Chlamydomonas reinhardtii: one gene and its partner. The main gene of each other region encodes a partner of the protein of the gene in region 2 in a complex. Links are inferred from orthologs where the notes say so. Each region holds a gene or a part of one and is shown on either strand. Other genes may lie near its edges.

Region 1 (4,228 bases), on a different chromosome or scaffold from region 2:
ATACCCCCCCCCTCCCCAAAGCAACTTGTCGGTACAGTAACTCCGGCGTTCGACCAGCCATGCACTCCTGCTCTGCCGCTGCAAACTGTTTGCTGTCTGCTTGGGGTACGGGCGTCAGCTGCACCCTATGGGACCTCGCCAACCTGCCTGAACCCTGTCCCATCACACACACACCCCTCCCCAAAGCACCCTAAAAAACCTCCGCACAAGGAGGCCCGTACGGCAATGGCCGACCTGACCTAATCTGTCGGACGAGGTACCTGACACGGTGGCAAGGTTCCTGAAGGGTTCCCAAAAGGGTAGATTCCCCGTCCGATAGGTCAGGATAGGCAGGGATAGGTCGGCAGCCTTGAAATTGCGGCCCAAAAACTGTCAATGTTTGGACGGAGGCCAAATCAGTAGTGAACCCGGGCTGATTATTCCGATAAGGTATGCTGTTACGGCTGTATTCTAGCCGGAGTAGGGGCGGCTAACAGTCAGGCTGCTTCGTTACTTAGGCGTCGGGAGGTTTCTACGCAGACTGATACGTAACCTTACTGCGCAACTATGTCGGGTAGCTCTCTGGCTTATACCCTCGCATGGGTTCCGGGTTTTCAGACACCGTATGTGGTAGGCCGCAGCATTGCTGGCTGTGCTGTTGCTCGGCGGCGGGATGTGGCTGGACACAATATGGCGGGCCGTGCCTGTACGAACCGACCCTATGTCCGGGAGATGAGGTAAACGCTTGTGGCCTCAGACTAAAGACGTGGCGTGGGCGCAGCCCACTTTTCCCATGCGAGTTCTTCCCTTTTGGTGTGATACAACCTGCACTGATCACTCCTCTTTGTCCATACCACAGGATATTGCAACAGAACCATGCATACCTTGTCCGACACGCACTCTCAGACCCCCTACGTTCTCCCTGGTGTAGTTTTGAACTTCTGACCGATATGTCAACACTCCCCCGCGGGCAGAACTCCATACCCATTCTACGTGTCACGTTAGCCTCATATCTCACCACGTACGCTTTCCGCTTCTAGTCACTTTGTGTCATTTCAAATGGTTGCATCACGCTCCCATGTCCTCGTCCATCATCAGCACAAATTATAATGGCATTCTACCGCATTCCAGTCCATCCAGAAATCCACAGACAATCATGACAGCACGACTGCCCCGTGTCCGAATGCTCCCCTACATTGTTGCGTCTACGGTTTCACTCACCGTACCTGCGGTTTCACCCACCGCCCCATGCCGCACTACCGGCATCACCGAACAATCATGGCGTCAGTGCCTTCGTCAGCACATCCGCTACCGTCTCTGCTGTCGGACAGAACTGAAACGTCACCTCCTTCATCTCCGCCCGCTCACGCACGGAGTGATGTATCATGGTCACGCACACGACCGTGCCCGATCCCTTGCCCGTGCCCGATCCCTTGCATGACAACGCCTGCCCATCTGCCCACCTGCTTGCGCAATCGCAACTGTTGAACTACAGCCTCTCAACGTCCATAATTGCATCTGACCCACACAGCTACGGCCTACCAGAGTGAGGCCGCCCCCCCCGGCGGTACGCGGTAACATGTCGTGTCAAAACGTTATGCCGCCCCCTCCTGCGGACCGTCTGCACGCTGCGTGTGTCCAGCAAGCATTTCACATGGTGCGGTCCAAAAAGCGCCGGTTGGCAAACGCCATCCAGTGCTTGTTGGGTGTAGCAGCAGCGCAAGAAGCAGCGGCAGAGGCAGGCGCACCCGAACCGCCAGGCGCAGCGGCGGCTGGGCCGTAGAGCCGGTCTAGAAGGCGGCGGCCGACCTCCTCCCGGCACTGGCGCAGGTAGGTGCGGATGGAATCTGCAGGCCAGCAGGCAAAGGTTAGTTGTCTCACAGGAAGGATGTAAGCCCCCGGCATGCGCGGCGAAGGCGGGGCGGCCGGGCCATAAGGGACGCGCAGCTGGCGAGACCCCGTGTGGCGGCACCGCTGCTGAATGAGGTGTTCCGCTTGAGCCTGCGGAGCCCTCCACCCCGCATCCAATGCACATCGCCATCTGCCAGTCTACGCTGCTGACTCACATCTGCACTTGCCCCTGCTCGACCACTCGACCTGACTTGCCTTCCTCCTCCCGGCTGGCCGGCGCCGTGAACAGGCCGCTGAGAGGGAAGCCCGCCTGCCCCGGCAGCGCGAACCGGTCGTGTGCGTGCGCGTACAGCAGCTGGCGCGCCTCCTCCCGTGGCGGCCCCGGCTTGCGCTCGGCGAGGCCTATGTGTTGGACAACGAAACGGAAATGAGACCCGCCCAAACGCCGGAGTCACTTACGGATACCTATGTGCGTGGCTTATGTGTGTGTATGTGTGTGTGTGTGAGCGGGGTAGGGGGATGCATGTGGCGCAGGCATGCACATCCGTGTCCGTGGGAGACCGGTCACACGCGGCGCAAGCCCACGCCCACAGCTACAAAGCATTTGCAGTCTTGCGGGAGCAGGCAAGCTGCCGTGAGCCCTGCAGCACTCTCCTCGGCATGTTGTTGACCGCATGCCCCCGCTAAACGCCCACGGCGCAACCCTAAACTGGCACCCTGAAATCTGCACACACGCAGCCTCGGACCCGCCGCACCCTCCCCCTCAACCCGTGCCGCCTCTGACTGAGCCCTCTGCACCCTCTCTCCACTTACGCCGCAAGCAGCTATTGATGAAGATAATCAGGTACACCAGCAGCTTATCGCCAGGTCCCCGGAACTCAAAGTTTTTAAACAGGGAATTTGGCCTGAACAGCTCAATTGCTTCTTCTACTGGATCAAAGCTAGACTCTGAGCCGGCGGGGTTAAGCGGAACGAGCGGAATACCACAGCACAGCTTGAAACCCGTGTCGCTGTTGTAGTGACTATGATAAGCCATGATAGGATAGTGTTCAACTGTGCGCAATAGTTTGACGGTGTAGACGCATGGGCACTCCTGAGAGCGGGACGAGGAATCGAGTTCCGAGCCCGATCGCCCGATGGCGCCAATTTTCGTTGCCATGTTTGTGCCTGCTGCTAAGGTGGCACTTTGCTCCGTAGACCAGACGTAGCTCAGTTCTGGATTACTAAACCGCATTTCGGGTCTGCTTTCAGGGCGTTCGAGAGTGATTTTTGTTTGTTTTTGGTGCTTGACCGCTGAGACGCCGAAAATTAAGTAGTTTACGGCCTTACCGTTCCTGCATACTTAACATAGCAACAGAATTTGGCCACAGGAGCTCACGGTCAGTTCATCAGCCGCCGCGTGAAGCCCTCGGCCACACACAAGGTGAACTTATGAATTGTATGCGTTTACCAGACATAGATGGATGGCCTGGGCTAGACAGAGCAAGCCGGGAGGCATTTCCGGGCCTGCGACCTTCAACTGCGCGGGGATCATCTCCGCAATCTTACGGACCTTTGTCCCGGCGCCCCAGCCGCAAGGGTTTAGCTATAGCTGAGGCGTCGCAGACGCAAAGGTCGGGGCGTCGGCAGAATGGGTGTTAGAGAGGTCTAAACATAGCGAGCGCCGTCTTCACACGTAAGGCACGCACCCCCTCAACGCGATCTGTGCTCCACGGCTGACTCCGGCGTGCCGCCCCTCGCAGGCTAAGCACCGGAGCGCAATGCCCGGAGAGGTTGCCGCCGCAGCCGCGGCAGGCGCCGCTGGCGCTGCGGGAGCTGGGGCGGAGGGCGGGCAGCCGGGCCAGCAGCGCCAGCAGGGCGGCTTCGGGCAGCTGCTGGGCATGGTGGTGCGCATGGGCGTCATGTGGTACTTCATGAACATGATGAAGGTGGGCGAAGCCGGGGCGGCTGGTGGGAGCCCGCGCGCTGTGGGGCTCGGCAGCCTCCAGCGCGGCTCAAGTCTTATGCTGTCCAGCGCGCGCGTGGTTGTGCTGTTGCCTGGCCCGTCTGCTGCCGTCTGCGCTTAGCGGAGGACCAACTTGCCATTCCACCATACCACAGGGCCAGAAGACACCGCCGCCTGCCGGCGGCGCGGGCAGCCCCGCCGCGGCCGGTGCGGGCGCGGGCGGCGCCGCCGACCTGTCAGGCTACCTGTACCCGGTGTTCCCCAAGGGCCAGCTGGTGGACATGTACATGTTCTTGTCGGAGCAGCGCAGCTACCCAAGTGAGTTAGGCATCAGGGGGAGCACCAGGGGCGCAGCTGTGGCATAGAAATGCTGGCTGGAGCTCAGGGGCGGTGGACAGTGATGTGCTGCTGCGCGGTGGCTTGTTCCCCCGGATACTGCAGCAAGAGGCGCTC
Region 2 (4,330 bases):
TCCCCAATCCCCAAACCGCTCCCCTCCCTCCTCCCCCCTCCACCACTGCACACACATACACACACACGGCGGCTTTGTTCCGTTTGTTTTGTGTTTCACACACGCACACGCACACGCGCGCACCACGTCCAGGTCCGCCGTCCTGTTGAGGGAGTAGCCGCGGCGCTGCAGCAGCTCCAGCATGTAGGCGGTCACGTGGCGCCCGGCGATGTTGAGGCGCTTGGTCTGCGGCCGGGCAGCCGGGCAGTCGGGCAGGTCGTGTGTGCAGCCGGGCAGCCGGGCAGCCATGCGGATTGGGTTAAGAGGGCAACCGGGGAAGGTGCTAAGGCTGGGTGCCACTCGATGGCGGTTTGCTGTTGGGCATTGTCCGTCTGCAGCTCCGCACCCAACCAGGTCCATCGCCAGTTCGCCGCCCCATCGACACCCTTTTCTCCCGCCCACGAACTCACGACACAGCCCACCCCTTGCCTTCCGTGGCCATCCCTGAACCACTGCCCCCCGCCCCTCAAGCATAGGCCACGCTCTCCTCCTCGCTCTTCTGCATTCGGTTCGGTTTAGTTCGGGCTGGTATCTAACCCCCCCCCCCCACACACACACACACCTGGTGCGGGAAGGCGTATCCGTCCACCACCGCCACCGCGTGCGACACGCCGTCACCGCTGTCCACCACCAGCCCCGTCAGCAGGCCCTGTGGACATGTGGCTGATGTGAGAGCAGGTACGGTGAAAACGGCTCGGCAGGTCGGTGCAGGAAAGGACGCGAACGCTAACACCGTTAAGCGTCGCACCGCATCGCACACACAGTCCTGTGTGTTCCCTTCCTTTGTGCTCTCTAACACACCCGGACACACACCCGGACACACACCCGGACACACACCCGGACACACACCCGGACACACACCCGGACACACACCCGGACACACACTCGGATACACACCCTGACACACACCCGGACACACACCCGGGCACACACACCCGGACACACACCCGGACACACACCCGGACACACACCCGGGCACACACACCTGGGCGTACAGCGTGAGCACCGCCTGGATCTGCATGTTGGCGCCCGCGAAGCCGTACGTCTCTGCGCGGCCACATACCACACACAAGTCATGGTGAGTTTCCCATTCCTCGTGTTTTCCAGCACAAGTCATGGGCCTCGCAGCTCCACTGTGCGGGCTGCGTCTGCGCACCTGTGTCTCCTCCGGGCCAGAGCAGCCCGCGCACCCCCTCCCCGCCCCAATTCGCACTGCCGTACGCTTCCGGTTTCGGCAGGCAACTTGGCGGCACGTCGTTGCCTACAGCCCCCCATCTCCCCTGCCCCCCACACAGGGACACGCCGGCCACCACCGCCACCCACCGAACATGACCTCCAGCATCTGCTGCCGGTTGGCGGTGGGGTTCATGGCCGGGTCTGTGAGCAGGATGCGGCACTCGGCCGGGTCCACGGCCAGCTGCTGCGGCCCGAAGGCGTGGTCCCAGATCAAACCCATCTCCTCCCTGGCGGCGCAGCGATGGGGGGCGAGGGGAGGGCGATGGCCGTTCATGGGGAACGGAGTGATTGAAGGAGTGGCCAGGACATGGCCGTGGGTGGGCACCTGAGCCTGTGAGCAATGGCGGCTGGACAGGACCTACCCCCACACGCTGCGCTTGTTGCGCTGTTGCAACAGCCCCAGCAGCGCTTGCCGCAGCGCATGTCACCACACTCCTGGATCCAGCCTCGCCCCGCCCCCACAGGCCAGCTGTCCAGCCGCTACCCCGGCCCCCGGCCCCCGGCCCCCGGCCGCACCATGACTGCACGACGCCGTTGCGCATGGGGTAGGACAGCTCCAGCTGGTCCTTGTTGCCGGAGGCCTCGGAGCCCACGTAGATGTCCTGTGGGCGGCAGTGTGGGCGGCAGTGTGTGGGCGGCAGTGTGTGGGCAGTGTGTGGGCGGCAGTGTGGGCGGCAGTGGGCGGCAGTGTGGGCGGTGTCGCACAAGCACCGGGGGCGACGCTCTAACACCGCCTTATGCACGTGCATTGCGTGCGCGCACTGGGGGTGGGGTACATGCCAGAGCCCAACGAAATAGATCCGCCGGGGGCGCGGAACGCCAGGGCCATCAGGCGCGGTCCGTGGTATGGCCCTGCTACTGCCGGCCAGTCCCGGCCCCCCGGTCCTCGCTCTACTGCATTGGGTGCGGTTCAGTTTGGGCTGGTATCTACAATTTCCACCCGGTCTTCCAAGCCACAGCCGTATGCCGACCGCTACCGTAGCAAGGACGGCAAACACTAGGGTACCGCACGCAGCGCTTGATCCCGGGAGCGGGCGCGTGCCCGGAAATGCCTGTCACGGTTGGCCGCACCACGCGCCATGCCTCCGGCACTTCCCCGCCCTCTATCCTCAGCCTCCTGGTCGCTTGCACCCAGCGGTCCCGCAGCCTGGCACGGTGGGGCGAAGGGGCTGCCCCACTGCCCCCACGGCTCTGGACAGGGCTCCTGAGAAAGCCGGGTGGTGGTTGCAGCCCCCACGGACAAACCTTCAGTTGCTGGTGCTGGGAGAAGGGGTCATTGTACTTGAAGCTGGGTCTCCCCACGAGGCACGGGAACACCGCCCGTGGGAAGCTGTCGCCGGCGAAACCGCATTTTACGAGCTGCGGACAACAGGCAAACAAGGAGCGTGTCGTGATGCAGGAGGTCACCAGTTCGCATTTCGTGGGTTGCAGGAAGCCACACGTTCCCCATGCTGATGTACACTGCTACCCAGATGTGACCAAACTTAACGCGCGCGCGTGGTTTGGAACTGGTCTCCGGAGCCGGCGCAACGAGCGTGCCTACTGCAGCACCCGCCAGGCGGGAAAGCGCGGGAACCGTGCCGCCCCACCGATCCACACGTGGACCTCCAAACTCACGCCGGTGCCGTTATCACACACCACCACGCGCTCGCGTTGGAAGTCGCCCATTTTGTTGTGCGGTGTTGCGAAATGAGGGTAACACTACCAACGCGCTCTTCGCCGTGGCGTGCTCATCTTGTCTCGTATATCTATGTCCTTAGAAAATTTAAGAAGCAAATTTTATGACATGGGGGGGCGCAGTGCTCCATGCCGTGAACCCGAGTTGGACATTGCAGCAGTTTCATTGCCCCTCTACTGCATACTTGAGTGTTTTACATCCACTGCCCCTGTATGATGCTCCTGTGACGACCATGTCTTCTAAGCTGGTCCGCAAACAGCTCTCTGCATTCATCGCCGAACAGTCAAAGGACGGCCAGAAGGCCCTAGCAGTCAAGGAGAAGAAGGCAGAGAAGAAGCGCGCGTCTGCATTGAAGAAGAAGGTCAAGGAGCTACAGAAGGAGGCCCAGGCGAAGAAGTCAGCCAAGCTTGTGCTGAAGAAGAACACCCAGTACTTTCAGACCACCAAGGCAGCATCTGAGCAGAACACGGAGCTGCAATTGAAACTACTCGCGGCCGCGACTAGCGGCAAGAAGTGATTCAGCCGCCTACACGCAGCGCCTGCGCTAAGCAGGCGGCCTCGACAAGCGTTCGAGGCCATTAGCTAATACCATGCAGAAATCCAGCTTTAGGGCCCGGTCGGGCGCACCGGCGGCTTCCTGGGCCGGCGCTGGCCCCGGCCCCTCGTCAGTCCGCGCCTGGCCGCCGGTCGTGCGCAGCGGACGCCGTCAGGGCACAGCAGTGCCGTTACGGACACAATCTCCTGACTCCGCCAGCCACCTTGCGACCTCCAGCCCTGGCCGCCACGGCCATGGCGCCAGGCGGGCGCCGCTGTGCCGCTCCGGGGCAGGGGGGCCCGCTAGCGGCGCCGGAACGGCGTTTGGTGACCCCAACTCAGTGATGGGCATGCTCATGGCTTACGCGGTGCAGATGCAGCAGCAGCAGCAAGCGGCGGGCGCCGGCGGAGCGGCACCGGGCGCCGAGGTGCGCGTGGAGGGGCTCACATTTCACCCGCCGGGCGCAGAGCAGCCGCTGCTTCAGGACATCCGCATGACGCTGCCAGCCAACAGCCTGGGGCTGGTCATGGGGCGGAGCGGCAGCGGCAAGACCACGCTGCTGCAGGTGCTTGCGGGCCTGTCGGAGCAGACGTCGGGGCAGGTGCGGGTGCTGCGCGGCGGGGCGGCGGGCGGCGTCGCGCTGCCGCCGACCAACGGCTACGCGGGCGGGAACGGGAACGGCAGCGGCGCGCACGCTCCGGCAGCGGCTGCGGCGGGGGGGCCTGGGGGCCTGACCATGGAGGAGCGGATGCAGCAAGTGGGGCTGGTGTTTCAGTTCCCAGAGCGACATTTCCTCGGAGAGGACCTACTCCAGGTACGCCGACGAAGCCGGTAGGGGCAGA

The links.
Region 1: CHLRE_16g687500v5 (region 2) and CHLRE_09g397950v5 share a complex: the UniProt entries of both Arabidopsis thaliana proteins name them as parts of the arp2/3 complex. The link is inferred for Chlamydomonas reinhardtii from reciprocal best matches to the Arabidopsis thaliana genes ARP2 and ARPC3.

Annotation. Positions count from the first base shown.
Region 1 is NC_057012.1:1,519,559-1,523,786, forward strand, and holds CHLRE_09g397950v5 (uncharacterized protein), read right to left. Parts: upstream 2,901-4,228; 5' UTR 2,867-2,900; coding exon 2,644-2,866; intron 2,233-2,643; coding exon 2,086-2,232; intron 1,827-2,085; coding exon 1,630-1,826; 3' UTR 705-1,629; downstream 1-704. Other genes in the region: CHLRE_09g397900v5 (uncharacterized protein), read left to right, coding at 3,591-3,758, 3,931-4,093. UniProt on the Arabidopsis thaliana protein: Functions as a component of the Arp2/3 complex which is involved in regulation of actin polymerization and together with an activating nucleation-promoting factor (NPF) mediates the formation of branched actin networks.
Region 2 is NC_057019.1:4,639,924-4,644,253, reverse strand, and holds the start of CHLRE_16g687500v5 (uncharacterized protein), read right to left. Parts: upstream 3,025-4,330; 5' UTR 2,944-3,024; coding exon 2,893-2,943; intron 2,635-2,892; coding exon 2,521-2,634; intron 1,878-2,520; coding exon 1,792-1,877; intron 1,503-1,791; coding exon 1,363-1,502; intron 1,087-1,362; coding exon 1,025-1,086; intron 689-1,024; coding exon 602-688; intron 226-601; coding exon 124-225; intron 1-123. Other genes in the region: CHLRE_16g687550v5 (uncharacterized protein), read left to right, coding at 3,544-4,302. UniProt on the Arabidopsis thaliana protein: Functions as ATP-binding component of the Arp2/3 complex which is involved in regulation of actin polymerization and together with an activating nucleation-promoting factor (NPF) mediates the formation of branched actin networks.